2 linked regions of the Saccharomyces cerevisiae S288C genome follow. The gene in region 1 interacts genetically with each later gene. Each region holds a gene or a part of one and is shown on either strand. Other genes may lie near its edges.

What was found.
Region 2: mutations in DGK1 (region 1) and SCS3 together harm fitness more than expected from each alone (negative genetic interaction), as found in Saccharomyces cerevisiae (4 studies listed by BioGRID).

What each region holds. Positions count from the first base shown.
Region 1 is NC_001147.6:897,642-901,922, forward strand, and holds DGK1 (diacylglycerol kinase), read right to left. Parts: upstream 2,288-4,281; coding exon 1,415-2,287; downstream 1-1,414. Other genes in the region: RNA-processing protein NOP58, read right to left, coding at 1-719; 60S ribosomal protein eL20 RPL20B, read right to left, coding at 2,609-3,126, 3,553-3,553; SPS4 (Sps4p), read right to left, coding at 4,217-4,281. UniProt on the Saccharomyces cerevisiae protein: CTP-dependent diacylglycerol kinase that catalyzes the phosphorylation of diacylglycerol (DAG) to phosphatidate (PA). Controls phosphatidate levels at the nuclear envelope.
Region 2 is NC_001139.9:269,024-272,639, reverse strand, and holds SCS3 (Scs3p), read right to left. Parts: upstream 1,644-3,616; coding exon 501-1,643; downstream 1-500. Other genes in the region: methylenetetrahydrofolate reductase (NAD(P)H) MET13, read right to left, coding at 1-120; mediator complex subunit SOH1, read left to right, coding at 1,865-2,248; U2-type spliceosomal complex subunit CWC23, read left to right, coding at 2,496-3,347; mitochondrial 37S ribosomal protein mS29 RSM23, read left to right, coding at 3,565-3,616. UniProt on the Saccharomyces cerevisiae protein: Fatty acyl-coenzyme A (CoA) diphosphatase that hydrolyzes fatty acyl-CoA to yield acyl-4'-phosphopantetheine and adenosine 3',5'-bisphosphate. Preferentially hydrolyzes unsaturated long-chain acyl-CoA substrates in the endoplasmic reticulum (ER) lumen.

The DNA.
Region 1 (4,281 bases):
TCAGCAGCGGTTTTGACACGTTCTTCAATCTCTTCTGGTAAGATTTCACTCAAATCTGTTTCAGAAGCCTTGGATCTGATACCCATTGTTAGAATAATTCTCGCATAAGCGACGGAATCAGTAACAATCTTAGCTAACTCAGGAAAGTGCCACCCGTACCATTCTTTACATCTCATGGCATATGTGTTTAATTCTTTATCTAAATCATCCAATAAAGCAATTGCTTGAATAATCATAACATCAACTTTGTCAGCAGAAAATTTTAATTTGTGACGACCGATGGAATGAGCTAAACCCAAAGACATCTTGCTTAGATCATTATCAGACATACCTGGCAGCAATTCTGGCAAATATTCTTTGATAGCTCTATAGATATCTAAGGTTACAGCATCGGAAACAACATTGAAGTTCAATCCCAACTTATTAATAGCGTTTGCCAGTTTAGTTTCACTAACAATCAAGGTCGACTTCTTGTCCTTTTTAATTTCTTCCAGAAGTTTTTCTAATTGGGAAGAAACTTTACCTTCAATAATGGAGTTGGCTTCCTCTAAAGCGTTAGCTGCAGAGTTGAACTTGGAAAAGGCGGCGATCTTGAATTCCTTCAAGACTTTGTCAGAGCTATCCAAGTCTTGAATTAAGCTTGAAGATTTGTAGATTTTCTTATCGGAAGCTTTTAAAAGAGCATAACCAGCTGAAGTTTCAGTTAAAACGTAAGCCATTGTATGAGGAGGTTGAGGTTCTACAGCTAATTTGGTATCGACTGCTATTTCAAAAATAACTTATATGCGAAATTTTTGCGAAAGCATAAATAATTCTTGCTTTTCTGAAAATTTTCGATGAGGTTGAAAAATTTTCCAAATTTCTTTTTTTCTGTTCTAACGTACACAATGATATCAATATCAATAAGGCCACTGGGCGGTAATCGCAGATAAACCATATATCCTTGAGATGCCAAGATAAATGAACGCTGGTTCAGGATCTTGGTAATCGTATTTCGCAGGATTGTTCTTTTTTATTGTTCTCTGATATGATTGCTTTGTGACAAAGTTGGGGCATGAAAAAGCCTTTTTTTACTGATGAAAATATGGTGTAGGTTTACGATTAAATAATAATGTTGCGCCCCATTTGGATGCGCTTGTTGGCACATATATTAGTAACATAAATGTTTTCATAAAACTGCTTGTGTCGAATGTTTCTAATGGCGTGAAAAATACGGAAATACTGCTGAATAATTTACACAGGTTCTAACTCTATACTCGGATATGTAGGATATTTAGAAAAATAATTTGTGGATGCCAAAGATCGAAGAGGTGCTGGATCGTTAACCACAGATAAACTGAATCGCGCACTCCAGTTACTGTAAAAAAGACTTACCGAAGAATATAAAACACTCCTGTTTTTGGTATATATGCTTTTATTTCTTGAATGTTTTGATTACTGCGTTCATAAAAAGTGATGACAGGACAGGAATAGTGAAATTATCATCCCAGTTGAACAAATCTATACCTTCACTCAAAGCAGCTACCACACCACCTAACAAGGATAGCATATTCAAACTTAATCTGCTTGTTTCTGGGCTCCATTGGATCTCGCCAGGTTTGTTGACGTAGCTGTAGGCAGGAACAAAATAGCCATAAAATACCCAGCAGGTGATAACACCAACTGTAAACGCAGCTATCGAACCTGCAAGGGATTTATTTCTTGCCACTTTGGGTGTTAAATGACCATACTTTCTTCCAATAGTTGCGGCGGCTGTATCGGACCAACTTAGCAAAAATAACGATATTAAGGTAACATCTTTAGAGAAAAAGTTAAAAGAAAAGATTAACCCAAGAATGTACCACAATACCCCATTGTATGTATGAATCTCCTTTTTTCTCATTAGCGCACCCACAGTTCTACAGTAAAGCATATTGAAAAAGGGCCAGTTTAGTCTTATCAGATCCAAAATAAACAATATGATGAAGGCGTATATCAAAGGCCATAAAACATTTTTATAATTAATACCCTGCGTATACAGGTACAAAGTAATAAAGCCAATGGAAGAATGGAACACCTTACGGGGAATTTCATGTTTAGTTATAAAATCGCCGAACCATTCATGAGATTTCAAATGTATTTCTGTCACTGGAACGTGTGCATCGTCATCGCTACTACTAATTTCTTCTTTTGCTGGAATCGTTACTTTCGCCGAGACTTGATGACTCTTAGATGATAGTCTTTGCTTAGCTTCGGTACGCGGCTCTAGCGTGCTATTTGGAAGGGCAATGGCATCTTCGGTCCCCATATTGTCTGTAAACCCTGTATGAATCCAAATGACAGAAATGCGTAGATATCTGTTTACGTAATGTTCAACTGCTCTACGACAACACCGCTCAGGATTTTTATAATTACGCTACGTTTTATATTTATCGCAGAAAAACCAATAATTTGTTACCCGCTATGGACCCTGGATTTTGTAAAGATACATGGCATGACATTGTGCTTTCACGCTGGTAGTGCATAATGTAAGAGAAGAAACAGGATATATTTTAAAATTTCCTTGAATCTACAAAATGAATTATACAAAATTTTATTATACTAAAAAACGTAGAAATATCTTGTTGGCTTAGTAGAAGGTTGATGGTCTCTTGTAAGAGAAAGTCTTGGTAGATTTTTGGACTCTGTGAGGTAATGGGAATTTTAAATCCTTGGTCAAGAATTGCTTGACGTATTGTCTCTTGACATCAGCAGTCTTTTCAATTTCAGCAACCTTCAAGATGTGAATAGATCTAAATCTAGCTCTGTGTCTAGCAGCCATGTCTTGGTATAAGGTTTCGACGGCAGCAACTCTGGATACGTCTCTGATTTCCTTGTACATGTTGTGAGTACCAGATCTGGAATCGTATCTAACCCAAACACCGAAGTTCTTGACCTTGGTTGGGTGAGCTTCGTTGATTTGGTTGATGGAAACAATTTCACCAGAAGCCTTCTTAACCTTGTGCAATTTTTGCAAGAAATACCAGTAACGAGACTTGGCGATGACTTCATTTGAAGCAAAAATTCTCATTCTGAACAACTTTGGTTCTGGAACGGATTCAGTTGGTAAACGACGACCAATGACTTGGTATTCTTTGAAATGAGCCACTGTTAAAGATAAAAATCAAAAAAGAATTTATTCTTGTTAGTAAACTTGCATATTTCAAAAATATTGCTTTATTGCAGACAATTACATGTAAATGAATGTTTCAAAATAGATCTCTGATTCAGTTAATTTCCTCTATAATTCCTGGATGGTAGTTCTATAGTCCTCATGTGAAGACTTCTCAAATGATATTAACCATATCATCAGTATTAAATGGTACACCGCCTTCCTTCTAGAAGCAATTTATGGTAATAATCGTATTCAGTATTCGGCGTATTTCAGGAAAAACATTCACAGGTTGCATTGACTTATTGGGTATTCTTCAGTATTTTAAATTTCCACGATATGTTCATTCAATTTGAGCTCACCATATAAAATAGCTACATTGACATTCATTCCACAAGCATACAATACATTCTATTACATACTTTTTCTTTGCTTGATTCCTTTGTTACGGTTCTCTTCTATTATCTTCTGCAAAAATAATGCCCTCAAAAACGGTTATATCTATCTATTAGAGTTACTTCTTCGTACTGTTGCCAACTCGAGCGGAAAGAAATTAGACAGAATCTGGCGGAAAATTGAGAAAGAGCTAGACAGACTATGCGGAACAACTTGGAATCTGCCTCTGTCCGTGTGGCCTGGCCCTGGCCTGGGAAGTAACTGTCTAGGCCGCGGACATTTTTCTCTTCGGTAGTAAGCCGCCCTACTGGTCATGGGGTTACCTGAAAGAGATAAAAATTCAAAGATAGCATCGCGCCGTCGGAAACGTAAAATGTACGGGTGAACAGTCCCGAAAACCGTATTTATTGTTTTGGGGAAGAGCTTGTTTACTTCGTGCCTACAAACAATCAGCACCTTAAGATATGACAGAATAGCTTGCTATTTGATTTTTTTTTTATCTAGCTTGTAAATATTTATTAAGCCTTTCCTTACAAAAAAATATATTTTCTTTTACCTCTTTTTTATGTTGAGCGTGTATACATTGGTAAATTTAAGTTCAGTGCTTTCAATAGATAACACCTATTGAATTTGCGCCAGTAGGTACAAATTGAAATTCTCGCCTATATTAAAATTATTTTCTATGCGAACTTATTGTACTAGATGTGGTAAATCTCCTCCCTCAGATTTGTTGCCAAAAAATCTAAACAAACTTC
Region 2 (3,616 bases), on another chromosome or scaffold:
GTCCATCCGGTCATACAGGTTCTGTACACCTTGTGTAGTCTTCGGGACGAAGTACTCGAATGAGTAAGTGGGCTTGCCAGAGGTCTGTCTATGTTGCTCTAATTTTTCTGTGATCTTCATATTGCGATGTGGTTGTAGTAGTAACTGTGGTGGTTCTGTTTGCTGATAACTTTAGTTTAGGGAGACTATTTCAATCAAGGGGAGCAAGGCAAACTACACGAAACACAAGCTGTGGCATTAGCTTTTCCACGAGCGAAATATCACCTTTTTTTTTCTACTTTTCGTATATATGATATATATACGTATATATATATATACATACAAACATATATATATATATATATATATCAAATTTTGGAAAAATTTGAGTCAAAGTTGCATATGCAATATTCACAGTCTATAATCCGAGGGATAGAATGACTAAACGACGGCCCGCTACCGGGAGAAAAGTCGCTGTTATTTTTTCAGTCGCTCGTGGTCTATCGCCAACTTTTCCTGAGTCATACTGGACGTAGCGCGGCTGCGTCGCGAGCGTAGACAAGGCCTGTCACTATGTACGCAGCTAGCAATCCAGACATGTGCTCACGTACGGTGTGGAAACGGGACGCCACCGCAGTCAACAGCAGCTGCCATAACCACGTGACCAATAGCGTCAGCAGTATGATTACTGGGTGGTCGCATGCTATGCATCGCGTCAAACGGAGCAGGGCGGCCGCGCACGTGACAGGCGGCTCGACTATCGCACGCCACAAACGGGCGCCACAGGTCATTGAGCCGCCGCCACACCGCCGCCACGTCCATAGCGGTCCAGTGTCGAAAAGGCGGGTCACCAATCGTACAAGCTGCCATTTCTGCGCGTACAAGTGAGCCAGTGCACGACGCCCAAACACACGTAGCTCACCTAGAAGAAACATGCACATCAAGGTGGCCAAGAACACGTGCCCGGATGGATCGTGTCCTCCAGCCCAATGGCCTCCAAAACGTCTGCACTGTGCCGAGGTGGTTAACGGACCTTGCCACCTGTGCATCTGGTCATGAATAAAAGTATTGATGGCAGCGGCAGCGCTGGCCGTTACGTTTTTTGGGGTTTTCGGTTGCGTCGCCTGCAGGGCGCCCTGGATCGACCCTATGGAGCGGTCCCAGAGTTGTTGCTGACGGTGTTCTTGGTGGTGTCCGTGCAAAGTGAGGACATTGTGAATGAGCGCCAACGCGCGATTAGTCCGGGTGACAGAACCCTGGAAGTCTTCGTTCACGTGACCTGCATCATCGAAGACGTCATAGTGACAATGGCCACCCGTATATACGAATACCAAGTCCATGATGGGGCCTACGCCAAACCATATACCTTGCGTGAATACGTACCACCACACTGTCAGTATGGCATACCTTTTGAATGACTGGACAATGTGTCTTCGGTCTCTGCCGGTTGCCCCCGGCACCGCACGGTAGCGTATAATACACCACCATCCGACCAAGGAAGTCCAAAACCACCCTTTCTTTACCAACATAGCATTTACCAGACCATCCTTATTCAGGGTTGCTTGCAGCGCCGCACCGTAGCCATACGCGTTCATGAGATATCCTACCAGTACCGTCAACGGGCACACCAGTAGGTGTATAGCATTAAACCATTTGCTAGACATTGTTGTAATATGCCGTGCTTTATAGCTGGTTTCAGTGGAGTTTTAGGCGTTTCCCCTTTGGCTTTTTTCGAACAGTTCGTTTTGTATTTTATTTCACGGTTTTCCCGCTAACGTGTTCTTAAAGGATGAAAAAGAAAAAGAAATGCAGGAAAAATGAGGCAAAGTAAGCCAAAACTTATAGCACTCATAAGACGGCAAAGTTCCCCCAAGCTCCACCCAGGATGTCAAGCACTAATGGAAACGCACCAGCGACACCTTCCTCGGATCAAAATCCTCTCCCCACGAGGTTCGAAGTGGAGCTCGAATTTATCCAGTCACTGGCAAACATCCAATACGTAACGTACTTACTCACTCAACAGCAGATCTGGAAGTCTCCTAACTTCAAAAACTACTTGAAATACCTGGAGTACTGGTGCAACCCCCCTTATTCGCAATGCATTGTGTATCCAAACTGTCTCTTCATTTTAAAGCTGTTGAACGGGTTCATGGAGTCGGCGATCGTTAATGAAGATGGCCTGCTGGAAGGGCTAGACGAGCTGCCCAAGATCATTCAATTACAAGGCCCGCAATGGATGAATGAAATGGTAGAAAGATGGGCCAACTGAACACACCTAATTATAACTACATTCGCACGCATTCATATATCTATTTTATACACTCATGAATATATATACACACACACACATATATATATCACATATATACATATATATATGTATATATATATGCAAGCCGCATTACTTTGTATTTTCTTTCCTTTGTTTTCCTTGCATATTATCTCGCAAGACATTAGAAGATGAAAGCAAAATCAAAAAGCAAGTCCATCGCCGTACTACAAGCCTCGCCACGACTATGCCAGGACACGAATTGGAAGACGTAATAAATCAACGTTTGAACCTATATGATGTATTAGAATTACCGACCCCCCTGGACGTCCATACCATCTACGATGATTTGCCCCAAATTAAACGCAAATACAGGACCCTTGCCCTGAAGTATCATCCTGACAAACACCCGGACAATCCATCAATTATACACAAATTCCACTTATTATCGACCGCAACTAATATCCTCACCAATGCAGACGTGAGACCCCATTACGACCGCTGGTTAATTGAGTTCCTACGGAAAACAAACGACATTGAAAGAAATAAACTTATACAAAAGCTGGAAGAATCTGAATCGAGTACGATACCCACCACCACACCACATCCTGATTTATTGCAAATCCAACGCCACGGCGAGCTACTCAGGAAACTAAAACATTTCAACTTGCCCTATGGTGACTGGAAACATCTCAACACACAAGACCAAGAAAATGCTTCGCAACATCCGTATTACGATTGCTCTACTTTGAGAATTGTCCTTGACAACTTCCTGCAATCAAATAATAAATCAAACTGCTTATCTCATTTGCGCAATCAAGTATTCATCACGCTAAGTGCTAATGAAATCTACGACATCTACTTCTCTGAAAGAAACAACTACTCGAAGGATGATTCAATCATCATATATACTGTATTCGATACTCCCATCACAGCGCAGCACGTATTCCGAAACTGGTCAAGTGGGAACCTCATACCCACGGTCAAGGATATTTCGCCCTTGATCCCGCTACATTACTACTCTGATTTTAATTTGGAGACGGAACTGAATGACGATATTGCAAGACTGGTCTCTAATGAACCTATCCTACTCGACTAGCTTGCACATATGTATGCCTGTTTTTCTTTATCCTATGGAACACTATATTTTCCGGGGCTTTCTTACAAAACGGAAGAAAAAGAAAAGGAAACTCAGCAAGTACTATGTACAAGAATATATATATATGTATATTGTATATATACATCAACTTCTATACTTCGAGGGAAAACATTAACAAGAGAACAAGTACAAGCCACGTGGTATACGTATCAGAATAATGCTACGTATGTCAACTTCAAGATTCATTGGGCAAAGGCTGTTCACTACGG